Linked DNA regions of Callithrix jacchus. The protein of the gene in region 4 binds, or shares a complex with, the protein of the main gene of each other region. Links are inferred from orthologs where the notes say so. Each region holds a gene or a part of one and is shown on either strand. Other genes may lie near its edges. The genes, in order: TAF7, TAF6, TAF5, TAF10, TAF3, TAF11 and TAF4.

What was found.
Region 1: TAF10 (region 4) and TAF7 share a complex: the UniProt entries of both Homo sapiens proteins name them as parts of the TFIID basal transcription factor complex. The link is inferred for Callithrix jacchus from reciprocal best matches to the Homo sapiens genes TAF10 and TAF7.
Region 2: TAF10 (region 4) and TAF6 share a complex: the UniProt entries of both Homo sapiens proteins name them as parts of the TFIID basal transcription factor complex. The link is inferred for Callithrix jacchus from reciprocal best matches to the Homo sapiens genes TAF10 and TAF6.
Region 3: TAF10 (region 4) and TAF5 share a complex: the UniProt entries of both Homo sapiens proteins name them as parts of the TFIID basal transcription factor complex. The link is inferred for Callithrix jacchus from reciprocal best matches to the Homo sapiens genes TAF10 and TAF5.
Region 5: TAF10 (region 4) and TAF3 share a complex: the UniProt entries of both Homo sapiens proteins name them as parts of the TFIID basal transcription factor complex. The link is inferred for Callithrix jacchus from reciprocal best matches to the Homo sapiens genes TAF10 and TAF3.
Region 6: TAF10 (region 4) and TAF11 share a complex: the UniProt entries of both Homo sapiens proteins name them as parts of the TFIID basal transcription factor complex. The link is inferred for Callithrix jacchus from reciprocal best matches to the Homo sapiens genes TAF10 and TAF11.
Region 7: TAF10 (region 4) and TAF4 share a complex: the UniProt entries of both Homo sapiens proteins name them as parts of the TFIID basal transcription factor complex. The link is inferred for Callithrix jacchus from reciprocal best matches to the Homo sapiens genes TAF10 and TAF4.

The regions. Positions count from the first base shown.
Region 1 is NC_133503.1:39,749,875-39,754,121, reverse strand, and holds TAF7 (transcription initiation factor TFIID subunit 7), read left to right. Parts: upstream 1-1,447; 5' UTR 1,448-2,224; coding exon 2,225-3,274; 3' UTR 3,275-3,781; downstream 3,782-4,247. UniProt on the Homo sapiens protein: The TFIID basal transcription factor complex plays a major role in the initiation of RNA polymerase II (Pol II)-dependent transcription.
Region 2 is NC_133503.1:13,465,479-13,469,545, reverse strand, and holds the start of TAF6 (transcription initiation factor TFIID subunit 6), read right to left. Parts: upstream 2,801-4,067; 5' UTR 2,316-2,800; intron 1-2,315. Other genes in the region: CNPY4 (protein canopy homolog 4), read left to right, coding at 3,267-3,299. UniProt on the Homo sapiens protein: The TFIID basal transcription factor complex plays a major role in the initiation of RNA polymerase II (Pol II)-dependent transcription.
Region 3 is NC_133513.1:96,354,618-96,358,598, reverse strand, and holds the start of TAF5 (transcription initiation factor TFIID subunit 5), read right to left. Parts: upstream 2,801-3,981; 5' UTR 2,787-2,800; coding exon 2,228-2,786; intron 1-2,227. UniProt on the Homo sapiens protein: The TFIID basal transcription factor complex plays a major role in the initiation of RNA polymerase II (Pol II)-dependent transcription.
Region 4 is NC_133511.1:72,318,326-72,321,598, reverse strand, and holds TAF10 (transcription initiation factor TFIID subunit 10), read left to right. Parts: upstream 1-1,401; 5' UTR 1,402-1,426; coding exon 1,427-1,655; intron 1,656-1,794; coding exon 1,795-1,949; intron 1,950-2,161; coding exon 2,162-2,226; intron 2,227-2,310; coding exon 2,311-2,425; intron 2,426-2,602; coding exon 2,603-2,692; 3' UTR 2,693-2,773; downstream 2,774-3,273. Other genes in the region: scaffold protein ILK, read right to left, coding at 3,003-3,152. UniProt on the Homo sapiens protein: The TFIID basal transcription factor complex plays a major role in the initiation of RNA polymerase II (Pol II)-dependent transcription.
Region 5 is NC_133508.1:6,118,234-6,122,261, forward strand, and holds the start of TAF3 (transcription initiation factor TFIID subunit 3), read right to left. Parts: upstream 2,801-4,028; 5' UTR 2,596-2,800; coding exon 2,430-2,595; intron 1,937-2,429; exon of another isoform or gene 1,843-1,936; coding exon of another isoform or gene 1,749-1,842; intron 1-1,748. UniProt on the Homo sapiens protein: The TFIID basal transcription factor complex plays a major role in the initiation of RNA polymerase II (Pol II)-dependent transcription.
Region 6 is NC_133505.1:43,122,966-43,126,465, reverse strand, and holds part of TAF11 (transcription initiation factor TFIID subunit 11), read left to right. Parts: intron 1-2,579; coding exon 2,580-2,667; intron 2,668-2,891; coding exon 2,892-2,988; intron 2,989-3,500. UniProt on the Homo sapiens protein: The TFIID basal transcription factor complex plays a major role in the initiation of RNA polymerase II (Pol II)-dependent transcription.
Region 7 is NC_133506.1:57,566,970-57,570,469, forward strand, and holds part of TAF4 (transcription initiation factor TFIID subunit 4), read right to left. Parts: intron 2,026-3,500; coding exon 1,878-2,025; intron 1,436-1,877; coding exon 1,321-1,435; intron 1-1,320. UniProt on the Homo sapiens protein: The TFIID basal transcription factor complex plays a major role in the initiation of RNA polymerase II (Pol II)-dependent transcription.

The DNA.
Region 1 (4,247 bases), on a different chromosome or scaffold from region 4:
GCAAATATTTTTTGTGTATCTCCCAAGTTCTGATACTATGAACTGGGACACAACGGCCAAGATGGAAAAAGATCACTATCACGGAGCTTTGGATCATAAGGCAATAAAGTGAATTTTGGAACTGTTAATTACATCTTGAGAGAATTCTCTTAAATTTAGGGGCAATTAATATTTTAGAGGATAGAAATTAAGTATTAATGGCCATTATGCTCTACCAAACAGATCTTATTTTAAAAATAAATAGAAATAAGTACTATTATCCAGTTATGCCAAAATACTAAAAGCATGCATTGAAGAATACCTGACTAGCCATAGAAAAGACAAGCAGAAAACAGCAAAACAGAGATAGTGCAAAAAAAAATTTCCAGAGTAATTTAAAATTAGCTACAAGAGAGGCAGGAAACAATACTTCCATTATATCTACTTTAAAAAGATGCTCAGCTATCAGACAATTCTGTCCAAAATGAACCTGTGCTTCCAGAAGAACACTTCCTTCACTGTTTACATTTACATCTAAATCAAGCACATAAAAAGGAATCATCCTTGTTTCCCCAGGAGTATTCCAGAACAAAAGTAAATCCAGAGGTAGGATTCCCCTACAGGCATTCTCAGAATTAAAACAATGTAGACTGTGGGCTGGGCGCGGTGGCTCACACCTATAATCCCAGCACTTTGGAAGGCCAAGACAGGCGGATCACCTCAGGTCTGGAGTTGGAGGCCAACCTGGTGAAACCCCTTCTCTTAGCCGGGCGTAGTGGCACGTGCCTGTAATCCCAGCTACTCTAGAGGCTGAGGCAGGCGAACAGCTTGAACTCCCGAGGTGGAGGTTGCAGTGAGCCAATATCGCGCGCCACTGCACTCTAGCCTGGGTGACAGGGTGAGATTCTGTGTCAAAAAAAAAAAAAAAAAAAAAAAATATATATATATATATATATATATAGAGAGAGAGAGAGAGAGAGAGAGAGAGAGAGAGAGAGAATTATATAGCGAGCTGCATGTCCTCACTCCACTAATTCGGGTACTTTAAAATCCATTGCATAGCAGCTACACATTCTTGTATTGACACCAGATTGGTTAAGACCCTAGGGAGCATCCGAGATGTTTCCAGAAGCAAGGACTCCATCTCCGGGGATCACCCGGAAGTCTAAAAGCCATCGAGCCCCAAATCGATCCCGTAAAAGTGCTGGCTTAGCGGGGGATGAATCTGTATCTTTCTTGGAACTTCCAACCTTTAAATATTTTGAAACCAACAGCCCTTACGAAACCCTGCCATTTTCATCCTGGAAGAACATTTCTCGCGAAAAGACGAACTTCACGCTGGGCACCGTAATTGCGCTATTGCGCCGGCGCACGCCGGGCTCCGCACTTCCGCCCGGGCGGGCTGTCACTCACAGCCGCCTCCCGCCCCGCGCCGTGACGTAGCACTTCCTTTTTCGCTGGGTTGGGCACTCAGTCGGAGGGTCAGCGAGTTGACGGTTGTTGTGCTGCGGGCTGCCGCTCTCGTCAGGCTTTCGCGCTGCCCGTCCCGGGCCCTTTCATCAGTAATCGGTAGTGGATCATTCTGCAAACCAGCAGGAAGAACAAAGGAAACGAGAAGGAGACGCTGGGCTCCCTCCCGCTTTGCTCCGTTCGGCTTCCTTCCGCTTTGCTCCGTTCGGCCTGCTCCCGCTTTGCTCCGCTCGGCCTGCTCCCGCTTTGCTCCGCTCGGCCTCCTGTTCGCTCCAACCGGGTGAAACTGAACTTATAATCGTCACTGGATTGTAAGTACCCGAGGCGAAGAGAGCTTACTGCGCCCCGATTTTTTGAATGTCTTTGTTCCGGGAGAGTCTGTGACTTGGGAGTGTCTCTGCTGGGCTTTCTGGGCCGAAAACCGTTCCGCGGGAGCCGCCATTTGCTTTCCTGCTCTGTAGCTAGCTAGCTCTATCCGCGTTGTCCGGCAGCGGCACCTAGAGGTTGGGACTTGGCATTGCATCTGATTTAATGAAAAATCTGTGAATAAGCCATTGTTGTCAGTAACGACTGGTATTCAGTCACAGCATATTTAGAGAAAAGACTTGGACTTAAAACTGAAGCAAAATAGACGCTTAGCTGCTGATCTACAGAGAACTTCTTGTAATTAAACGATTTCAATTCATAGCAAACTGGTGTTTTAAACTGTTGCAGTAGCTGGAACTTTTCAGTGTAACCAGCATTTATTGGAGAAGTGAGTCACAAAGAAATAAAGATGAGTAAAAGCAAAGATGATGCTCCTCACGAACTGGAGAGCCAGTTTATCTTACGTCTGCCTCCAGAATATGCCTCTACTGTGAGAAGGGCAGTACAGTCTGGTCATGTCAACCTCAAGGACAGACTGACAATTGAGTTACACCCTGATGGGCGTCATGGAATTGTCAGAGTGGACCGTGTTCCATTGGCCTCAAAATTGGTTGACCTACCTTGTGTTATGGAAAGCTTGAAAACCATTGATAAGAAAACCTTTTACAAGACAGCTGATATCTCTCAGATGCTTGTAGCCACAGTTGATGGTGATCTCTATCCTCCAGTGGAGGAGCCAGTTGCTAGCGCTGATCCTAAAGCTAGCAAGAAAAAGGATAAGGACAAAGAGAAAAAGTTCATCTGGAACCACGGAATTACTCTGCCTCTAAAGAATGTCAGGAAGAGAAGGTTCCGGAAGACAGCAAAGAAGAAGTATATTGAATCTCCAGATGTGGAGAAAGAAGTGAAACGATTGCTGAGTACAGATGCTGAAGCTGTTAGTACTCGGTGGGAAATAATTGCTGAAGATGAAACAAAGGAGACAGAAAATCAAGGCCTGGATATCTCTTCTCCAGGAATGTCTGGTCACAGGCAGGGCCATGACTCATTAGAGCATGATGAGCTTCGAGAGATATTCAATGACCTCAGCAGCAGCAGTGAGGATGAAGATGAGACCCAGCATCAAGATGAAGAAGATATAAACATCATTGACACTGAGGAAGATCTGGAGAGACAGCTACAGGAGAAGTTAAATGCATCAGACGAACAGCACCAAAAGAATGAAGGAACCAATCAGCTGGTTATGGGAATTCAGAAGCAGATTGACAACATGAAAGGCAAGCTCCAAGAGACCCAGGACAGGGCAAAACGACAAGAGGATCTCATCATGAAAGTGGAAAATCTGGCTCTCAAGAACAGATTTCAGGCTGTACTGGATGAGCTCAAGCAAAAGGAAGATCGAGAAAAGGAGCAACTCAGCTCTTTGCAAGAGGAGCTAGAATCACTCCTAGAGAAGTAAAAAGAACTCTGCTACTGAATTTCAGTCTTCAGACTGGTCAGCAGTAGAAAATTCTTAGCTTTATTACTTGTACTGCATATTAAGACCTTGCCCTTCCTAGTCCCTCTAATGCTGGGTGTTCTGTTGAATTCTTTTGTTTTTAATTTTGTTTTTCTGCAAACTTACCTTGTTTTGCTAGTTGTTAATCCTATAAGAAAAATTATATAGGCAGAAAAATGATTGTAGGAAAGTTGCAGTATTAGTGTAATGTATGGTTCAACCTTAATTATAGTTTCACTGCAGGACTTTGCTGTTTATCCATTTTCCTAGAAGCTGGTGTTGCTGCTTTGTGATGACATGAGATCAATAAGAAAAACTTAGTCTAGAGACAGTGAAGCTGGTTTGTATATGTTTTCCCATGCAATAGCTGTTTTCCCAGTTATTCAAAGCAGTTTCCCATATGTAGAACTGCAAATTATTTTATAAAGTTTTCAATACAATAAATAAAAGCGTCTGTTTTTCACCTTATAATGTATCTTGTTCTTTCATGGTTGGTGGGAGTGAGATTCTCTTGGGAGGTGTTTTTGTGGTGGAGTTTAGTAACTGAGCAATTTAATCCTGTTCTGCAGGTAGAAGCAGTTGGATTTTATGAAAAAAAAAAAAAAAAAAAAAAAAAGGAACGTAGCAGGGATAAAGAAATTGGGAGTTGTCAAATTTGCATCACATTAAGGTTCCAATTCTGTCTGATCTACTTGAAGCTGGGAAACATTAGATACAGAGCTTTCTTTACCATAATTTCTGTAGATGAAGGCCTTTGTGCTTTTTTTTTTTTAAAAGCACTAAATCTACCTGCTTAAAATGTTGAAAACAAAGCAGTGGTTATCAAGTGCAGTCCAATGAACCATTCCATTGGTTTGAATTAAGATTTTATTTCTAATTTTCTTCAATTGAGTTCCTACAATTATTTAATATTCTAAGAACTGAGGTTATTTAT
Region 2 (4,067 bases), on a different chromosome or scaffold from region 4:
CTATCGCTACTAAAAATACAAAAATTAGATGGGTATGGTGGCGGACGCCTATAATTGCAGCTACTAGGGAGGTTGAGGCAGGAGAATCACTTGAACCCGAGAGGCAGAGGTTGCAGTGAGCAAAGATCATGTCACTGTACTCCAGCCTGGGTGACAGAGCAAGACTCCTTCTCAAAAAAAAAAAAAAGAAAAAAGAAAAAGAAGATAAAATCCTTTTAATGTCCTACAAAGCCCTTCAAAATTTGCCTTCTCCCATTACATCTCTGACTGCCTTTCCTTCCTGCTTCCACTTTGATCCAGACACATATTCCTTCAGGCTGCCCCTTCAACTTGCCAGGCATACTCTTGTCTAATAGCCTTTACTCCATTCCCTCTGCCTGGAATGTTCTTCCAGAATGCCTGATTGCCTGTCTGCCCTGACCACCCTATTTAACTCTGCACTCTGCCCTCAGAGTGGGAGCAGCCCACTTTTTCTTTTCTTTTTTTGAATGAATGCCACTTTTTCTTTTCTATAGCATTTAACATCTGGGTTGGGTGCAATGGCTCACGCCTGTAATCCCAGCACTTTGAAAGGCCAAGGCGGGTAGATCACAAGGTCAAGAGATTGACACCATCCTGGCCAACATGGTGAAACCCTGTCTCTACTAAAAATATGAAAATTAGCTGGGCGTGGTGGCATGTGCCTATAGTCCCAGCTACTTGGGAGGCTGAGGCAGGAGAATCACTTGAACCCAGGAGGCAGAGGTTGCAGTGAGCCACTGTACTCCAGCCTGGCAACAAAGTGAGACTCCATCTCAAAAAAACAAAAAAACCTTCTAATTCGTTGTATCGTTTCTTATTGTTTATTACCCCCACCACACACCATATAGACAGGGCTCTTTATTTGCTTTTTATTTTTTTGAGATGGAATTCACTCCTGTTGCCTAGGCTGGAGTGCAGTGGTGCGATCTTGGCTCACTGCAACCTCTGCCTTCCGGGTTCAAGCGATTCTCCTGCCTCAGCCTCCCAAGTGGCTGGTATTACAGGCATGTGCCAGCACAGCAGGCTAATTTTCCTATTTTCTTTTTTTTTTGAGACAGAGTCTTGCTCTGTCGCCAGGCGCCAGGTTGGAGTGCAGTGGCGCAATCTCGGCTCACTGCAACCTCTGCCTCGTGGGTTCAAGTGATTCTCCTGCCTCAGCCTCCCGAGTAGCTGGGATTACAGGCATGAGCCACCGTGCTCGGCCTAATTTTTGTATTTTTAGTATAGATGGGGTTTCGCCATGTTCCTCAGGCTGGTCTCGAACTCCTGACCTCTGGTGATCCGCCTGCCTCGGCCTCCCAAAGTGCTGGGATTACAGGCGTGAGCCATCATGCCCAGCTGACAGGGCACTTTATTATGTTCACTAATGTATTCCAGGATCCCAGCCTGGGACATCATAAATATTTGTTAAGTAGATGAATTAGTTGTAAGGTTTAGAGATGTTGGTACTCGGTAACTACTAGTTATTGCTGTTATTAAGAAAATATGTCACAGGTCCAAACTTCGAGCCTACACTGCAGTTAAAAGCAAAGTAGACCAGGTGCAGTGGCTCACGCCTGCAATTTGGGAGGCCGAGGTGGGAAGATCACCAGAGGTCAGGAGTTCAAGACCACCCTGGTCAACGTGGCAAGATCCCATTTTTTTGTAAAATCACAAAAATTAGCAGAACATGGGGGTGGCCACCTGTAGTCCCAGCTACTTGGGAGGCTGAGGTGGGAGAACCATTTGAACCCAGGAGGTAGAGGTTACAGTGAACCGAGATCATGTCACTGCACTCCAGCCTGGGCGCCTGAGGGAGACTCCAGTCTTAAAAAAACAACAAAATGGAGCCAAGCAAGGTAGCTCACTCCAGTAATCCCAGCACTTTGGGAGACAGAGGAAGGTGGATCACTTGAGGATGGGAGTTTGAAACAGCTTGCTTAACATAGTGAGACCCCCATCTCTGCAAAAAATTGAAAAATTAGCCTGGCATGGTGGACCTGTCATCCCAGCTACTTAAGAGGCTGAGGTGGGAGGATCACTTGAGCCTAGGAGTTCCATAGCAGCGTGGGCAACAGACAGAAACCCTGTCTCAAGGAAAAAAAAAAAAAAGTCAAGTGGCACACTGGAGCTGGACATTAGGAAGATTAACATCAATACTGTTCAGGAATAGTACAGGTGGTAGGGTGGGGCTGTGCTGGAAGGATGGGAAGAGGGAGGCCGAAGAAGAAACTGGTTCTTTTCAAACCATCCCTGGTCTCCTCCCCAACTTTTTAAAGTCTTATCTATAGGGAACACAATTATTCGAGACATACTCTGTGCCTGGCGCCGCGTTTATAAGAGGCGGTCGTGTCCCACTTCCCTGGCGAACTCTTACGAATCCTTCAATACCCGGCGGTACCCTCTGTCAGTAAAGGCTCATAAAACACGCTACAGTCACAGGATCTCCTCAGATCAGTGGAGGCGGCAGGAAGGCGTCCCAGGGGAGGATTAACTTGAGCGGGATCCCAGCAGAGAAGCAGGTCGAAAATCCCCGGGGAGCGCGAAAGGAGGCTCAGAGAGCCCACCTCATCTCCTGCAACATCTCTCCAATGCAGACACACACACGGGGTCCCCACGAGCACGGACACACAACCAACCGTCTTGTTTCTAGTCCCCACAAGGGACCTTCAAAGGGTCTCCTCCAGAGTACCACTCAGACCCGCCCCCGCCAGCCGAACGCTGGGAGCAGGAAAACTCTGGCCGCCGCCAAGACGCCGCTCACCCGGCGCTGGGCGCCATCTTGGCCCCGCCCCCTCCTAGGAGCAGGTCCTGGCAGAGCGGAAGTCCAAATCGCTACCGCTTCCCCGTGCCAGAATACGTTCTCTGGACTCACGGAATGAAATTATATTTTAAAATTTTGTTTAAACATCTACATATAAGAAGAATTCCGTCTTGGTTGAATTACTGCAAATTATTCCTTCACTACCCGGCTGCCAGGACCTTGAAGAGGCGCCACAAAACGGAGGCGGAGAAACTCAGAGCAATGAGGCCCCGCCCCCTACCGAGCTGATTCTGCTCGTGCGCCGACCTTGCCAGGCTGGATTTAAGGTTGCCGCCAGCCGCCTGGGCATTTAAAGGACCCACTGCCTTCCCGAAGTTGGTTTGAAAGCAAGCGATGGTTGTTTGTGGATGGCGCTTTGTCATGGGACCTATGTGGTTGGGAATATTGCTTTTCCTTTTGGCCGTGCACGGGGCTTGGGCTGGGAAGCCGAAGGAAGAGGACGATGACACAGAACGTTTGCCCAGCAAATGCGAAGGTATCTGAAGGGGGTAGCCCCTGTTGGCATCGCCCGGCCACACCTCCTTCTTCTAGGCCGGACCTCTTGGACTGTATTGGGTGGGTCACCTGAACTCCTTGAAAGCTTGAGGGAGGTTCTGGTGGAGCTTGGCTGAATTTGAATGGATGGGGTCAAGGAAGCAAACGTGTAGTGCCGCCCCAAAGCTATGGCACTGCACTTCCCAGGAGGCATTCAAAGAGAGCCTGCATTTTTTTGGTTGACTTGGACCCCCCCGCCCCCCCCCAATGGATTGTGGGAATTGTAGTTCAGGGACCATTGGCCCTGGACTGCCAACTTTAGAGCATCTTCAGTGCGTGTTTCCCGTCACCAGACCTTAATCTGCAGAGGCTGCAGGAGCTCTGTGAGGCTCAGGCCTTGTGGACATCTGCTGCCCCACCCTAGCATAGACGCTCCCAAATTACAGGCCCCACGACCCCTGACGGGGTTTGAGGGTGAGTAATTCTGCCCTTCAAGCTCAAAAACAACAGGAGGCCACACGACTAGGGGAGGTTCCCCATCCGGGTGAGACTTTGCAGACGGTGTGTACTATGTGGATTTTTCAGCAAGCAGCACTTTCCGTAGCTGCACTAGTGTGGGGCCCAGTTGAGAAAGGGGGCACTTCAGAGCTGGCCCTGATCCCCTAGTTTGCTGCCCTCCTGACTTCACGTTTCTTCCCTGGATTCTTGAGGGAAGAAACGTAAAGTCAGGAAAGGTGGTCATGATACTCTCATGACGTAGTCCTCATCT
Region 3 (3,981 bases), on a different chromosome or scaffold from region 4:
AATTACAGGCGTGAACCACTGTGCCCAGCCACACTCACACACATTTCTATTTATGGATTACAATGAAATATGAATACAATGCTATGTATTCAAGCAATGCTGCAAAGATTAGGCCTCATACAGATGAATTTGGCTAAAGGCTCTGCACTGGAGAATTCAATAAACATTTATTGTTAACTCAGGATCAACTGTGAGAACTTATACTGTATATGAGTTTTACTGCATGGACTTTGTGACAACATTTGCTGGGAGAAAGCAGGGGCTAAGGTATTAGGGACAGATACAGAGGCATAAACTTATCAATACCAAATGTTTCACATATACGTATTATAATAGCCTCATAACCACTCATTTAATAGAGAAAATTCAACATGAGAGCCTCCTGACAATATTAATGTAAAAAAAAGAATTTTTTTTTTTTTTTTTTTGAGACCATCTCACTCTATCACCCAGGCTGGAGTGCAGTGGCACGATCTTGGCTCACTGCAACCTCCACCTCCCAGGTTCAAGCAATTCTCCTGCCTCAGCCTCCTGAGCAGCTGGGACCATACCTGGCTAATTTTTGTATTTTTAGTACAAAGGAGGTTGACCAGGAGCGGTGGCTCATGCCTGTAATCTCAACACTTTGGGAGGTCAGGAAGTTACCCGAGGTCAGGAGCTCGAGACCAGCCTGACCAATATGGAGAAACCCTGTATCTACTGAAAAAACAAAAATTAGCAGGGCATGGTAAGGCATGCCTGTAATCCAAACTACTCGGGAGGCCAAGGCAGAAGAATCACTTGCAGTGAGCTGAGATGGCACCACTGCACTCCAGCCTGGGCAAGAAGAGTGAAACTCCACCTAAAAAAAAAAAAAAAAAAAAGGCCTGGCGCGGTGGCTCACACTTGTAATCTTACCACTTTGGGAGGCCGAGGCGGGTGGATCATGAGGTCAAGAGATCGAGACGATCCTGACCAACATAGTGAAACCCCTTCTCTACTAAAAATACAAAAATTGCCAAGGCGGGTGGATCACGAGGTCAAGAGATCGAGACCATCTTGGTCAATATGGTGACACCCCGTCTCTACTAAAAATACAAAAAATTAGCTGGGCATGGTGGCGCGTGCCTGTGATCCCAGCTACTCAGGAGGCTGAGGCAGAATTGCCTAAACCCAGGAGGTGGAGGTTGCAGTGAGCCGAGATCGCGCCATTGCACTCCAGCCTGGGTAACAAGAACGAAACTCCGTCTCAAAAAAAATTAAAAATTACGTGTAATGGGATGCCTGAACACATGATTCTCAAGCTGCCGTATGTCAATACTCCTTAGAAGCACTTATTCAAAAGTGCAGATTCCCATATTCCACCTCTAGAGGATCTGATTCACTAAGTCTGAAGTGATGCCCATGAGCCTGCATCCTCCAAAGACTTAACACTGGTGGTACTACCCATATGTATTTTTAATATTCCAACTTTTAGCTGACAATCGGGGGCACATGATGTGCAGGACTGGTACAAGGGTATATTGCATGGTGGCCAGGCATGTTGGCTCACTCCTGTAATCCCAGCACTCAGGGAGGTCAAGTCCGGTGGGTCACTAGAGGTCGGGTGGTTGAGACCAGCCTGGCCAACATGGTGAAAGCCTGCCTCTACCAAAAATACAAAAATTCGCCAGCTGTGGTAGTAGGCGCCTGTAGTCCCAGCTACTGGGGAGGCTAAGGCAGGAGAATCGCTTGAACCCAGGAGGCGGAGGTTGCAGTAAGCCGAGACTGCACCACTGCACTCCAGCCTGGGCGAGAGCAAAACTCCGTCACAAACACACACAAAAAAAGAAACTATAAAGTATTTACTAACGTATCTTTTAAGAGGAAGTAAAGAAATAAAGAAAAATTAAAGTACGCTAATACGAAACTGTACAAACACTATGTTAGCGTCATGCGGACATGACTAAGGCTCAAAACCCCATATGAGAGGAAAGGAACCAAAAGCCTGAAGGTACCCGCCTCTCCGCGCCCACCTTCACACATCCCTCTGCTCAGCAGCTCTCCTCAGCCTCTCGCTGGAACTGACAGCTCGGAAGGGGGTTTGACTACGCAGCCGGCGCACTAGAGAAAGGGGCGGGCATGTGGCCCTAGAGGCGGGCCCAGGAAATTCAAAACAAGCCCGCAGAGGTGCAGGCCCGCCAGCCCCTGCCTTACCGGCATGCTCCCCTTCGCGGTGGCCGTGCCTGCCCGGGACCCCACGGCTCACCTTTACCCGGAGCCGCAGGACCTGAGGCTGAACCTGAGACGGCCGTGGCCCCCGAAGCGCCAGTACCCGGAGGGTCGGGGGCCGCAGGGCCAGGGGCCGAGGCGGTCACCCGGCTGAGAAGCGCGCTGGCCGCCTCAGCGCCGGCGCTGTCCACCTCTCCCGGGGCTCCGGAGCCCGCCACTGCCTCCTCCAGCAGTCGGGCCTCACGGCGCAGCGCCTCTTCGGCCTCGCGGAGATTGCTCTGCCGTAGGAACTGCAGCACCGCCAGTAGAGTCTGTCGGTCGTGAGGAGCGCCGGCCTCCGGAGCAGCGGCAGGCACCGGGGCCGCCCCCGCCGGGGCAGAGGCAGAGACAGCCACCGTGGGCTTGGGGGTCCCGCCATCACCGCCAGCGGACGACGACGCCGCAACGTTCCCGCCCCCGCCGTTGGGGCCGTTGTTGGTAGTGCCGCCGCTACCCTCGCCTGCGCTGTCCCCCGCCTGCGGAGGTAGCAGCGTTGGCGGTCCCTCAGGCTCTAGCTTAACCGCCACCTCCGTCTGCTCCTCCGCCAGCGCCGCCATCTTGCGGCTGAGCCACCTCGCGCCGTCAAGCGTGATTGCATTTTCGCCGCATGGAGGTCGGGGAGGAGCATTTCACGACAGCTCTAGTAGACCATTTACGGCAGTAGGAGGAGCGAAAAAAAAAGGCGAAACGGAATAGGAATGAGTAACTTTAGAAAACGAGCGATAGAAAGGCAGGAAGTGGGAGTTGATGACCGCCTATTACATTTGCCTGATAATTGCAATTTATTGCAGGCTAGCTTACGCCGTGGCTTACGTCTGTAATCCCAGACGTAACGTTTTACGTTATGTGATCTCCTTCAATTCAATCATTTTATGAGGTAATATTATTTTCACTGCACAGATGGCTTAGCCGAAACCAAGAGAGGTTAAATAATTTACCAGAGTCACACAAGAAGAAAGTCCAAATGTTAGCATTCGAATCCAGGTCTTTAACTTAAAAGCATATACCATTTGCCAGAAGGAGGCTTCTGAGATACTGGTAATGTTTTCTATGACCTGGATAGTGGTTAATTTTTTTTTTTTTTGGCCGTTTTTACTTTTGTAAAAATTAATCGAGCTGCATGCTTTATGAACTTTACACCGTATACATTACTTTTTTTTTTTTTTTTTTTTTTTTGAGATAGAGTCTCGCTCTGTCGCCCAGGCTGAAGTGCAGTGGCCTAATCTTGGCTCACTGCAACCTCCGCCTCCCGGGTTCAGGCAATTTTCCTGCCTCAGCCTCCCAAGTAGCAGGGATTACAGGTGCGGCCCACCATGTCCCACAAATTTATGTATTTTTAGTAAATGCAGCGTTTCGCCATGTTGACCAGGCTGGTCTCGAACTCCTGACCTCAGGTGATCCGCCCGCCTCAACCTCCCAAAGTGCTTAGATTGCAGGCGAAAGCCATATACATTACATTTCAATAAAAAGATTTTAAATAACAGAATTTTGTGGCTGTGAAATATGTACGTTATGTATTCATGCTATTACCTGTTATTATAAATAAGCTATTTTAATTGTATATTTAAAAATCGGCCAGGCGCGGTGGTTTACGTCTGTAATCCCAGCACTTTGGGAGGCCAAGGCGTGCGGATCACAAGGTCAGGATATCGAGGCCATCCTGGCCAACATGGTGAAACCCGGGAGGCGGAGATTGCAGTGAGCTGAGATCACGCCACTGCACTACAGCCTGGGCGACAGTGCGAGACTCTG
Region 4 (3,273 bases):
ATCCCCACTACTACTACATTTTTTAGGGCCATGTTCTCCTGGAAAAACAAACAAACAAAAAACAACAACAAAAAAGTGTTCTTCCTGCCAACCCCAAACCATCTTCCAGAGTAAAATGCAAATCCCATCAGGCCACTTGATGAAAACCCTTCAAGGATTACTGGATAGAGTTCAGGCTTTTTTATTTTTCCAATCATAGTTCACAAACCTTCCTTGCTATTTGTTCCTAAGTAACAAATCATTTTTCCTCCTCCCTCCCCAAACTCCTAGAACTCTCACTCTTGCTCAAGCTGCTCCGTCCCCTTAACACCACCACCCTTGATAAAATTGCCTCGTTAATTTCCAGAATTCTTGCAAGACTCAGCTCAGAAGTCACCTTCTGTCATGAATGCTTTGATTCCCTGAGGCTACTTTATTTTGGTATGCGTAAAAAAACCCCTAGATTTTCTAAACAAAACCTCTTTGAATCTTGGTTCTGAAATGGACTAGGAGACCGACTGGGTCAAGTAAGTTTAACACCCTGAAGCTGTTTCCTCGTCTGTTAAGTGGGAATATCAATACCTGCCTTTCATAATAACGAGGAAATAAAGTGAAATAACGTTGATACGAATGCTTGGGACCTGGGAGTAGGTAGCAGATGTTAACGCCCTTCCTCCCTTGCACTGCACCCCCTGTGCCTACCTCTAGCATTGTAACATCCACATAGTATTGAAATGGCCAGTTTACTTGTTTGGCTTCCTTTCCAAGACCGCTGGTGCCTAGAGGACTAGAATCACGTCCTATTTAACTGTAATCCCCAGACCCTAGCTCAGGAGTTGGCAAATAAGAATTAAATGTCTGCTACATTGAAAACCCCACGTCTTTCACTCGCTGTGATTTTTGCGTATGCTGTTGACTCAGGCTGAAACCCCTCCTCCTCCTACAGCAGCACTGTGTGCCGGCCCACTGCTGCCCCCACCTCTCGGGGCAGTTGGTGGAGAAGGGGGCTTTCCAAATCCACTACGAACCCTTAAAAGGCTGAATAAGGGAACTTGAAAGGATGCAGACAGGCAGGCAATCCGTAGTCGAGGGATGTAGGGCCATAAACCTCGAAGCAAGGTCTTGAACGTCAGGCAGAACGAGCTGAAAGAGGAGTCAGAGGAGTCCCAGATGAACGCTGGTTCCGGTCTCGACTGAATCGCCGCGGAGCACGGCACAGGCTAGGGCGGAATGGCGACGGCAAGCGCAGTTGGCCAAGGCTTGGTCTCCTCCCTTCAGCCTATTTTCTCTAACCCGCAGACCCGCTACCGGAGGAGGCGGGGAGCGGGCCGGAGAGTGCTAACAGTGACAGGCGGGGCGAGTCGTGGGCGCGTGACGTCACCCCAGGGTGTGCGCAGCGCGAGCGGAAGCGGAAGCGGCTCTGTTCGCCGCCTCTCCCACCGGCCCGATGAGCTGCAGCGGCTCTGGCGCGGACCCCGAGGCGGCGCCACCCTCTGCCGCCTCGGCCCCGGGCCCGGCGCCCCCGGTGTCGGCTCCCGCCGCGCTGCCAGCTAGCACCGCCGCGGAGAACAAGGCCAGCCCCGCGGGGACAGCAGGGGGGCCTGGGGCTGGAGCAGCTGCTGGGAGCACGGGACCCTTGGCGCGGGCCGGGGAACCAGCTGAGCGGCGCGGGGCAGGTGAGGACCAGGACGGGTGAGGGCGAGGGCAGCGCTTTGGACTGGGCCCAGCGGCGGTTGGGGGCAGAAGGTATAGGCAGACCTCGCTGGGGCCCTGCGCCTCCCACCTCTGTGTCTCATTTTGCTGGTTCTCCTCCAGCTCCGGTGTCGGCGGGTGGCGCGGCGCCCCCGGAGGGGGCCATGTCTAACGGGGTTTACGTACTGCCCAGCGCGGCCAACGGAGACGTGAAGCCCGTGGTATCCAGCACGCCTCTGGTGGACTTCCTGATGCAGCTGGAGGATTACACGCCTACGGTGGGCTTCCCGCCCGAACAAGGCTAACTAGCCTGCCGTCACAACTTTCAGCTACATCTCCGTGCTTTCCAGCGTCTTCTGTTTGCTTCCCTAGTCGCTCTTCTGATTTTTTTGCCCTCTGCCCCACAAACTGAGCTTCCTGATTACCAGGCCTATCCATTTCCCTCATCCTCCTCCCGCTCTGCTGACAGTTCTCTTAATTGATTTCTCAGATCCCAGATGCAGTGACTGGTTACTACCTGAACCGTGCCGGTTTTGAGGCTTCAGACCCACGCATGTGAGTAAACCCAGGGCAGGTTAGTTTTGGGTACTTGTGCAGTTTGTTTTTCATCTCCTTCTCATCTCAGTTTTTTCTCTCTAGAATTCGGCTCATCTCCCTAGCTGCCCAGAAATTCATCTCAGATATTGCCAATGATGCCCTACAGCACTGCAAAATGAAGGGCACAGCCTCCGGCAGCTCCCGGAGCAAAAGCAAGGTGTGAGGGGAGGCTCAATGAATCAGTAATTACCTTCCACAACAGTGGAGGCTTATCCTGCCACCCCCTTGGGGAAACTGAATCCTAGGGGAGGTATATGACTTACTCAGGGTCACCTATCTGGGATTGAAGTCTAGGAGTCCTGTGTTCAGTTGGTACTCTTCACTCTTTCCTCAGGACCGCAAGTACACTCTAACCATGGAGGACTTGACCCCTGCCCTCAGCGAGTATGGCATCAATGTGAAGAAGCCGCACTACTTCACCTGAGCCACCCAACCTAAATGTGCTTGTCTGTCCCCATGTCCCCACACCAGCCTGTTTTCATAATAAACTTTATTGTGACAGGCAGGGCTGATCCCTCCCATGTTGGGAGACACCATGTGGCAAGTGACAAAGCTCTGAGCCCACCCCTTTTGGGGCCACAGTGGTAGGGATTCGGGAAGGGGATGGACCCCATGGCTGGGGTAGTACCATGACTAGAGGCAGGGGAGGCAACCAGAGGCCTGCTGCTTTGGGGTGGTGCACTCCCCCAACCATGTCCTGACACCTTTGGAGTTTAGGCAAGGACTTTCCAGTCCTACTTGTCCTGCATCTTCTCCAGGATAGGCACAATCATATCAAATTTGGGTCGCTTTGCAGGGTCTTCATTCATGCAGATCTTCATGAGCTTACACACATGAGGGGAAATACCTGGTGGGATGGTAGGCCGAAGGCCTTCCAATGCCACCTGTGAATACAAGAAAAAACTGAGCCTTAGAATTTGAGTCTATCATGTAGAAAGAAGCAACTGGCTCTTGGGACAGGATTACTGTATATCCGAACAAATACAGAAGGAGCCCAGGCCCACT
Region 5 (4,028 bases), on a different chromosome or scaffold from region 4:
GCTGGTATAGAAAAACGAATCTAAAAATATCTAATAAGTATACCAAAATTAGCATTCAAAAAAAAGTCACCAAATCATCATGGGGAATAATGAAGTTGACAATCTCATTCTCACTGAAACCAAGAAACTGGCTACGGAAATTAGGTAATTAGGAACAAGGTTTACAATGAAGAGCTGCAATGACCCCTTGATGACTATGGAATACTTAGTCACATGGAGTGCCAGCTCCCTTCTGTATAAAAGGCAAGAAAGGTAACTCTGTATTCAGGAGACATTTTGAATGTCTAAAGATACAGAACATCTGTCCCTATGTAGAGAACTTGGTAGCAAACATAATCTGAACTACGCCTCGCCCAGCCTATCAGTTAACAGTACACTCAAGGACCATGGCAGAGCAGGCCAGAGGAAAAAGAAACAAAAGCTAGGAGAGTAGTCAGCTGCTGATGTACTTTCAAGATAAAAATGCATGCATATTACTTTGCAGTTCCAAATTTATATGTATCAGTGAGTTAGGCATGGTTCAGGCCTGTAATCCAAGCACTTTGACACACTGAGGCAGGAGGATCACTTGAGCTGAGGAGTTTGACACCAGCCTGGGCAATATAACCAGACCACATATCTACAAAAAATAAAAAAATTAGCTGGGCATGGAGGCATGTCCCTGTGGTCCCAGCTACTTGGAAGGCTGAGGCAGGAGGATCACTTGAGCCCCGAAGTTCGAGGCCATAGAGAGCTAAGATCGCACCACTGCACTCCACGCTGGGGGACAGAGTGAGATCCTGTCTCAAAAGAAGAAGAATAGAAGTCTCAGTGAAATCAAGCACTCAAAGCATACACATTTTTGGAACTCAAAATGTGAAGTCAATATGTGGCTCTTATGGTAGTGGTTTATCAGTTCATTCATTCACTCAACAAATATTTCTCAGGTAGCTATTATAGAATGGCCCCACAGGTTACAGAATACAAATATAATCAATTTTTCTCCTGAGAGGTGAAAGAGACATACACAGGTGATTACAAAACAAGATGACAAATGAAAGAAATATGCACAGAATTATGAAAGCAGATAACATGAGGTCCCTAGAGCAAGTGATAAGTACATCTCAAAATAAAAGCAGTACTACTGGGCCAGGGCAAAGGACACTCTAAGTAGAAAACAGCATGCACGTAGAAATGGATAGCCTAAAACATTCTGGAAAAGGCAAGTAGCTCAGCATGGCTCCAGATTAGCATGGCAGGCTGGCAAAAGATAAGCAAGATGCTAGCTCACAAAGGGAAATGTGTGCTGTTAACAGTTTAGATTTTTAGCCTGTAACCAATAGAATACAGTTAAAATGTTTTTAAGAATAATGACAAAATCAGATTTGTGTTGTGGACAGATTATTTTGGCAGCCCTGTGGAAGCAGGAATGAAACTCGGGGCCTAAGCGATACAACATGTCTGTGGGTCTCCATTTTTCAGTCTAGGAACCACTTTAACAAAACAAAGTATCCTATGAAACACTTCATTCAGTTCTCCAGCTTATCACCTTAAACATCATGACTTGAAACTTCAGTGAGTGGTAGTTTCCTCTCCTCAACAAACACACATGCAATGCTTCACATCAACAAGATAACGTGTAGCTTCTATTAAAATACCATTTCTTCCATTAAATTATTAAATACCACTAGCTATAGATATTACCAGACATTCACTTAAAACCCGTACTGTACTGTACAGGTTTTAAGTAGTACTGTAGCCCAGATTACCTGGAGAATCTCGCCAACTGCCCATGGTCCCTCTATCCCGCTTTGATAACCACTGACATCTCACCGGTAACTGAGACGTTAAGTGAAAGTGCATCTGATCAGCGAAACTGACAAAGTCAGCCTTGGGAAAACAGAAAGTGGAGATGTTGTTCACGAAACGAACAGACACAGAAAGAAGAGGCAGTGTCCCTAACGGAGCAGAGCTGTCAACGAGTCTGTGTAGTTAGGAGCTCAGGAATGGCCAGTCTTGTAAGAAACGGCCGGTAGACGGAGCGCCTGTGACAACTAGTTGTAGTAGTTTGCGGGCAAGGGAGAAAAAGGACCGAGGTAAAAGAGGGTGTAAGGCACGCTGGGGGTGGATCTGCCCGCAGCAAACAGGAGACAATGAGAGAGATCCAGGCACATTTCAGAGCGGAGGAGCTGCAGGAGGGTGTGGAGCTGGGAGCGAAGACTCGGCTCCCGGGCTGGTGGCGGGAAGTTAGCGGATGAGGAAGAGGCACCCCAGGGATGACTAGAGTTTGCAGGGTCAGTGGAAGCCCAGGGACGTGGGAGGCCGAGGAGACAGCAGATCTCGAGGCAGGGTGCGGGACGCACACACCGGAGACGCGGAGGGGCAGGGAGAGCGGAGGTGTCACCCTTGACTTGCCGGGGCAGCCCTCCCGAACCCAGCCCGGTACTCACAGAGCTCAGAGTACCGATGGCAGCCCCGGCCCAGCTGCTGCAGATAGCGCTGCAGCACGTCCGTGAGGAGGTGGCAGGCGCTGAGCTGCACCGAGTCCCAGCCCAGCGCCTGGCAGATCTGCGCCACCGAGACCCTCAACAACGACCTGGAGTAACTCTCGCACATCCCGCTGCGTGGACGCCACCGCAGCCCTTGCTGCCACTGCTCTCCAGCCCCGCCGCCAGACCTTAGCAGGGCCCCCGATTCATCCTCTAGGGCTTCGGCGGCGGGATAATGGTCCCACGGACCCCCGGCGACCACCTCAAAGCCCCAGCAGCGCGGAGCGCGCCAGCCTGAGAGCCGCCATTTTGGACTCGCTCCGCCTCTCGCTGGACGGCCGCCGGAGCGAGGCAGCACGAGCCGAATGCCGAGCGCGCCGATGAGAAAGCTCCGCCCCGTGGGAGCGGAGCGACGCCTCGGGATCGTCTCTGAGGCCTGGAAGCCGGCCGGAAGCGGGATTGCGGAGCGCAGGTGGAGGAGGCGCCATGGGTGACAGGTGCTGGGGTGCTTCCCAGGGGCGCTCACCTGGGGGGAGAGCGGGGACAAAAACGCCCGTGTTTTAGGGGCAAACGAGGGATCTGGGATACGACATTGACATGTTAGAGAGTTAGCATTAATAACGTTAGTCATGTTAGAGGGTTAAGTGCTAGAGAGAAGTTTGGGGCGTGGGAATTTAAGATGCTCGCCAAACGCAGACCTGCGCTGGTCTTACTTCTGCTAAAAATCTGTGTACTGAGCTGCTTGCCACTGCACAGATTAAATAAAGCCCAAGCTGTTCCGCATGCCCTTTAAAGCCCTTCGCAGTAGGGCGGGGACTAGGAGGAGGCCTCTGTGCCAAATTAATGGGCCCCCCAGAAAACTCAGTCATCAAGATGGATAATATTTTAATAGTTTTTTTAAAAATCCAAACCCATGCCATAAACTCCTGCCTCACTCATGTCATTCTAATCCCAGCCATGGTTGCAATAAAACGTTTTTTTTTTTCAAACCAGGTGAGCTCCCTGTGGGCTGTAGTGTGCGATTTGCGTATCGCGGCTGTGGCCTGTAGGGGGATGGGGACCTCGGCTACCTCCAGAGGTCAAACCAGAGCCTCAAACCCGTATCTCAGGCTGAGTGTCCTGGGAACGGTTGCCTATCCCAGAGCCTCCTCCCAGCTCCAGCCAAATATTGCCAGAAATCGGGATTTGGGGATAAATACCTTGACTTTTAAATTCAGAATTGGGAACACATCTCAAAAACCAAACTGATCCCACCGCAAGTCTAGATTCAGCCTGCCGATAGCTCGATTGTAGTGGCTGAACTATGTGGTTTCTTAAATATGCCTTTCTGTACCTATCACAGTGTATTTAGTATAAGAGTTTATCAGTGGCTCTATGTTCCTCCTCCAGGGACTATTCCAGAACTTTGAACATGATACTCAAATTTTCGAAAGTCTGGGAAACGCAGTAGGAGTGAAATTATGGTTCTTCAGTTAAATGGCGATCTGCAGAGAAGCAAGGTACTATATGGCAAGGTGCCCGTATTTACTTCATGGACACTCTGTCCCCAAGTTATCAGCA
Region 6 (3,500 bases), on a different chromosome or scaffold from region 4:
AGGGTCTCTCTTGACCACACAAATTTAATAAATTTTTCTTGGCCTTTTTTTTCTTTTAAAAACTTAAAAGAAAATGAAATGATTAGTACATTATGGCTATGCATGGTGACTCACACCTGTAATCCCAACACTTTGGGAGGCCACGGTGGGAGGATCACTTGAGGGCCAAGTTTGAGACCAGCGTGGGCAACAGTGAAACCCTATCTCTATACTATGTTTTATGTTATGTATGTCATGTCATGTCTTGTTATATTATGTTTTTATTTTATTTTTTTTGAGACAGAGTCTCACTGTGTCACCCATGCTGGAGTGCAATGACACAGTCTTAGCTCACTGCAGTCTCCACCTCCTGCGTTTAAGCAATTCTCATGCCTTAGCCTCCCAACTAGCTGGGACTACAGGGGTGCACCACCACGCCCAGGCTAGTTTTTATAGTTTTAGTAGAGACAGGGTTTCACTATGTTGGCCAGGCTGATCTTGAACTCATGACCTCAGGTGATCGCCCTTGGCCTCCCAAAGTACTGGGATTACAGGCATGAGCTACCATGCCTGCCCTTCTTTTTATGTATTTATATTTTCTATGCTGTGACATAATTGTTTTGAAAAAAAATTTTTTTTAAATAGAGGCCAAGTGTAGTGGCTCATGCCTCTAATCCCAGCACTTTTGAAGGCTGAGATGGGTGGATCACCTGAGGCCATGAGTTCAAGACCAGCCTGGCCAACATGGTGAAACCCTATCTCTACTAAAAAATACAAAAAATTAGACCAGGCACCATGGCTTGTGCCTATAATCCAAGAACTTTGGGGGGCCAAGGCGGGCAGATCACCTGAGGTCAGGAATTCAAGACCAGCCTGGCCAACATGGTGAAACCCTGTCTCTACTAAAAATAGAAAAATTAGACAGGCAAGGTGGCACATGCCTGTAATCTCAACCACTTGGGAGGCTGACGCAGGAGAATCGCTTGAACCAGGACCCGGGAGGGAGTGGTTGCTGTGAGCAGAGATCGTGCCACTGCACTCCAGCTTGGGCAACAGAGTGAGACTCCGTCTTAAGAAACTCAAATTCAAAAAATTAGCTGAGCGTAGTTGTGGGTGCCTGTAATCCTAGTTATTCAGTAGGCTGAGGCAGTAGAATCACTTGAATCCAGGAGGCAGAGGTTGCAGTGAGCCAAGATCGTGCCACTACACTCCGGCTTGGGCAACAGAGCCAGACACTCTTTCTAAAAGTTAGATAGATGGATGGATAGATAGATAGATAGATAGATGGATAGATAGATAAAAGAAAAAAATCACATCCCGCTTATGTTAAAAGTTTCAAGAGAATTTCTATACATATATATTTATAAATAAATTTTTTTTCAAAAATGTCAAATACTCTTACAGCCTATTTTTCACATTAGATATGGTGAATATTTTCCATGTCACTAATTATACATCCAGGTCATAGTTTTCTTAGAAATGGAAATCGCTTTATTATATTTTCTGATTGTAAAAGTAGTATGGACTCATTGCAAATAATTCAGAAAATACAGAAAAATAGAAAAAATTACCCAGAGACTCACCACCCAGAGTTTACTCTAAGCATGTATAGTTGGCTATAATATATGGACCTTTTCAAAGTTTTTTTAGATGTTTGCTATGTATAGCTAAATATTTTCCTGTCAGTAAATATGCTCATAAATCATCATTTTAATGGCTACATTGTATCGCATTGTGTTGTTGAACTATAATTTAACCAATCCCTGTAGTGGTTCTGGTTAGATTTTTTTTTTCTTTTGACATTACAAGGAGGATCTTTGGACATGTTTGCATACTTGTCCATTTCTTTCAATTACCTCTAGGAGGTGTAATTGCTAGTTCAAATAGTGTGAACATTTTCAAAGGCTTTTCATAAGTATTTCCAAATTTCTCTCCAAAAAGGTGTTCCAGTTCTCTGCCAGTATGTATGGGTTTGTACCCCATATTCTAATAGCATTCTTTTTTTAATAGTGATCTGATTTGTGAAAAATGTTATCTATGAAAATAATATTTCCTTGGTTAATAATAAAGGTTAATTTGTTTCCCCCATGTTGGTTGACCATTGATATTTTTGTAAATTGCCTGTTCATATCCTTTGTTCATTTTCATAAATTGATATGACCCCTTTATTCATTTGAAAGAATTAATTATACATTAGGGGTATTAACTGTTTCCATATATTTTGCAGATATTTCCCCTAAATCTGTTAATGTTGAAAACTACTGGTTTGATTATAAATTTGTATATTAAATTTTTACTATCAGTATGAAATTCAGTAAGGTAGAGTTATGGAGATTTAGTCTAATGCTGAAAACATAGTCTGTATCATATGATACAGTGACCCAATGTTGTTGTTTTCATTTTTCTTAAATGGTAAAAAGTTTTTATTTTATGTTTCCTCAAGTTCCTTAGGAGTAGAAGTGTTTTATCTTCATTCTTCAAGGCACCAAGCCTAATGCCATTGACCCTGTAAGAATTTATCTGTCTGAGAGTTTTACTGACTTAATAATATCTTGTATTCATTCTTATAAGTTAACTTAGTTACCTGGATCTTTGTCTAGAATCCTGGTTTCTTCTTTTTCTGAAGAGCAGCTGAACCGTTATGAAATGTATCGCCGCTCAGCTTTCCCTAAGGCAGCCATCAAAAGGGTAAGGATGGCCCACCACACTTCATTTCTGTCATACTTTAAAACCAAACTCAAGAGCCATGTCTATTGGCATTTGAAGTGAGGTGTTAGACAAGTCAGTGAATTATTTAGGTGGGGAAAAAAATGTCCCTCAGTTATCTTGCCCTTTTCTGTGAATTAATTGGTACTGTGTTCAAAGCCAGTCTTTGACTATCATAATCACCGAGTGTTTGTCCTTCTTTCAAGCTGATCCAGTCTATCACTGGCACCTCTGTGTCTCAGAATGTTGTTATTGCTATGTCTGGCATTTCCAAGGTTTTCGTCGGGGAGGTGGTAGAAGAAGGTGAGTAGTGTTGGTTACAAATACTGGATTCTACCTGTGGTCATCTTATTTTTAAGAATATCTATACAAAGGAACTTATTAGAGCACCTGTACAAGTACTTATTTGCACTTGAGGGTGACCAAGTGGGGAGCCCTGTATTCAGGAGAACGTGACCATTATTCCTTGCAAGTTTCAATAACAGATGGCAAGGAACCATCTGGGAAATCCCCTCCCTGATTCCTTTCCTCAGCCCAGGGTGACAGAAGTAGATTTTTTTTTTTTTTTTGAGACGGAGTTTTGCTCGTTACCCAGGCTGGAGTGCAATGGTGTGATCTCGGCTCACCACAACCTCCACCTCCTGGGTTCATGCAATCTCCTGCCTCAGCCTCCTGAGTAGCTGGGATTACAGGCACGTGCCACCATGCCCAGCTAATTTTTTGTATTTTTAGTAGAGGGGGGGTTTCACCATGTTGACCAGGATGGTCTCGATCTCTGGTCCTCGTGATCCACACACCTCGGCCTCCCAAAGTGC
Region 7 (3,500 bases), on a different chromosome or scaffold from region 4:
AAGACGGTCTCCACTCATCTTGTATTTCCTTATCACTGCCCTGAAATCAGCCTTTTCTTTCAGGAGGCTTGTCAGTTTAGAGGAAAACGGTTTTTAGAAGATGACTTTTGAGCACTAGGTGTGCTCAGTGCTATTAGGGCGTTACTGCTCCAGGGTCCTGCAGTGGACAAAGCTAGAAACTTATGGCAAGATCCATCATTATCCACGCCTGCCGACACAGGCTGAAATCCAGGCGTCTGCGTCAGCATTCCAATCCTGAGCCACCCCACAGGACTTGCTCTCCTTTATCCCTTCTGCCAGGTCACTGACTCCTTGACAGCAAACACCAAGGCTTCCAGCAGCCTTGATTAATTCTTTGACCTGTGTATGTCCCTAAGTGCCTCCCTTCTCACTGCAGTACTAGCCTCACGCCAGCCTGGGCATGCTGGCCACCTCTCGCTGCCTGAGCTTGGACTCTGGCTCAGGCCACAGTCACTCCCCAGGCCTGCTCTGCCTGCCTGATGCTTTTAGGGATGAAGTGTCTGGGAAAGAGAAAACTCACAAGAGTTCCTGAAACACACACACTCCCCGGCTGCTTGATCACAACAGAGACCATCCCGAGCCTCTCCCATTGCTCAGGTCCCGTAAATATCTCCCTGACTGACGGTGATGCTCAGACCGGCTGCTTTCCAGAAGGCCCGGGCAAAGCACAGCATTTCTTTTTATTTTCTTAGAAACAGGGTGTCACTGTCACCGAGGCTGCCGTACAGTGGTAAAATCATAGCTCACTGTAACACTGAACTCCTGGGCAGAAGTGATCCTCCCACCTCAGCCTCCCAAGTGCACACCAAGTCTGGCTAATTTTTTATTTTGTTTGTTGAATAGGGTTTCACTCTGTTGCCCAAGCTGGTCTCAAACTCCCGGGCTCAAGCGATCCTCCCACCTCAGCCTCCTGCAGTGCTGGGACCACAGGCGTGAGCCACTGCACCTGGCAGTACAGCATTCTGAAGGTTCTGAAGCTGAATGTGTGGAAAGTGAAGCATTCATTCTATGTGATGAAAACAATGAACTCAAAATACTATGTTATATTTAAAAATGAATTTTCTTTTAGTTCACATAAAAAACTCAGTTGATTTGCTTTCTGGCTGTGTATGAAGCAAAACCTTTGAGCCGACTCCACAGGAAAACACACTTGTGAGACGTGAGGTCACAGTGAGCGTGGAGCTCCCGGCTGCCAGAGCCATGTGGGAAAGACCCACGCACGGGAACGGAGCAGCACGGACTCTGGATTCTTCTCCATTCTGGCCACGCTCCTCCAGTGTACACAGGCCCATTCCTTACCGAAACGAACCTCCCCCAGGCTCCTTGAGTTTATTTTTCTGTGCAGCAGCTGCTTGTGCCGAGACAGCAGAAAGGGCTTTGGCTCCAGGTAACACGGCGGGTTTCACCACAGGGACTACAAAACAAACACACAGTGGAAACCACACGAGGCTTTCATTAGACAAACCATGTGCCTTACAGGCCTAAGGGCACAGCTACCACTCTCCTAATTAGCCACAATCGTTTCCAAAAACTTCACGTTAGTAACTCTAAATTACAGTACAAAGTATAAGCTGTCTCTCTCCAGCATTTATTCTCCTGTATTTCATCAGTTTTTAAAGTGCAGGAATAATTACGAATGAAGAAGCTCACTGTGGTAAACGTGTAAATAACATTTAAAATCACACTGACAGTGGGGATGGTTACACGACATGGCAAATAAAATTAATGCCACTGATCCAGACACTTAAAACAGCCAATTTTATGATATGTACATTTTACCACAATTAAAATAAAATAAATATAAGCGCAGTAACAGCTGGCTCTGGGGGCCACCCTTGGTCATGAGAGGCCCTCACCTGGCTGCAGCGGGCTCAGCTGGACCGGCTGAGGTGTAGTGAGCATGATCCGGTTGTGAGGCTGCCGCAGCGCGACCATGGGTGTCTGCGTCAAAGTCACCTGCGGGGGCCGGATCAAGGCTCCTGGCTTCGGAGGCTGCTGGATCACCTGAGGCAGAGCCAGCAGAGAACAGTGAGCATGCCCCAAGAGGTGGGGCCTACCCGGTCCCTAGCAGAAGGTTCCTCCCTTCCCTTCCTCTCCACCCTACACCCCCCAGCATGGTCTCGGCCAGATTAGGGCAGGACGTGGGCAAGGGGTGCCTGTGTGGGCATAGCAGAGCGAAGCAGGAGGAGCAGATCTGCTGCCTAGAAGCTGCCCCTGGGCTCTGGTCAGGTCCTGGAGGTGCCAGGCGACAAAGTGATGCCTGCTGAGCTCAGCAACCCAGGATGGAGTAGAGCACTGCCTCCCAAATATTAGCAGAAGTGACATTGTTGCCTGGTGGCTACAGGTCAAGTGGTTTTACCCATCTGAAATTTGTTTCTTTTTTTTTTTTTTTGAGACAGGATCTCCCTGTCTCCAGGCTGGAGTGCAGTGGCATGATCTCAGCTCACTGCAACCTCTGCCCCTTGGGCTCAAGCAATCCACCTCAGCTTCCTGAGCAGCTGGGACTGTAGGTGCCCATCACCACTGTCTGGCTAATTTTTGTATTCTTTGTAGAGATGGCGTTTTGCTATGTTGGCCAGGCTTGAACTCCTGGGCTCAAGTGATCCTCCCACCTTGACTTCCCAAAGTGCTGAATTACAGGCATGAGCCACCAAACGCAGCTCTCTTTCTGAATTTTCTATAAGGAAGCTGATGACTTTTCTACTGGAGTGGGGTTACAGTTCCTAAGTCCTGCCTGAACTTGGCCCTCAAGGGTCTGTCTCTACCCACTGCCTCCAGTATGGCCAGCTCTGTCTGCCCAGCTGCTGGGCCCCTCATGGCAGGGCCTGCCCACGTCTGCTGCCGTCCTATCTCTCATTCCTACCTCCAGCACAGGGCAGAGGTCCAAAACCCAGCAGCACTGACCACGGCCTGTGCTCTGGCCCGTCTCCAGGATGCTGGAACCCAGAGACACTTGTGTCCCTGTCAAAAGCCAATGCTCAAGCCCACAAGGCCTGGCCCCAAACCTCTGGGCCCAGATGTTTCTGAATTTAGTTTCATCTTTTGCAACGGTGCCCTGGCAGGTAAACTCGATGCTGCAGAATACGTGTGGGGGCCTGGGGAAGCAGCCTACAATGCAACCATGTCTTCAACAAAACCCAAACACCCACACTGGACAGGAAGAGCCTCAGGCAGTCAGGACAGCCCTGCGCATAGGAAGCCTGCCATCAAATGCTCAGGACAGGCTGTGTGAATAGGAAGCCTGCCATCAAATGCTCAGGACAGACTGTGTGAATAGGGAGCCTGCCATCAAATGCTCAGGACAGGCTGTGTGAATAGGGAACCTACCATCAAATGCTCAGGACAGGCCCTGCGGCATAGGGAGCCTGCCGTCAAATGCTCAGGACAGACTGTGTGAATAGGGAGCCTGCCATCAAATGCTCAGGACAGGCTGTGTGAATAGGGAACCTACCATCAAATGCTCAGGACAGGCCCTGCGG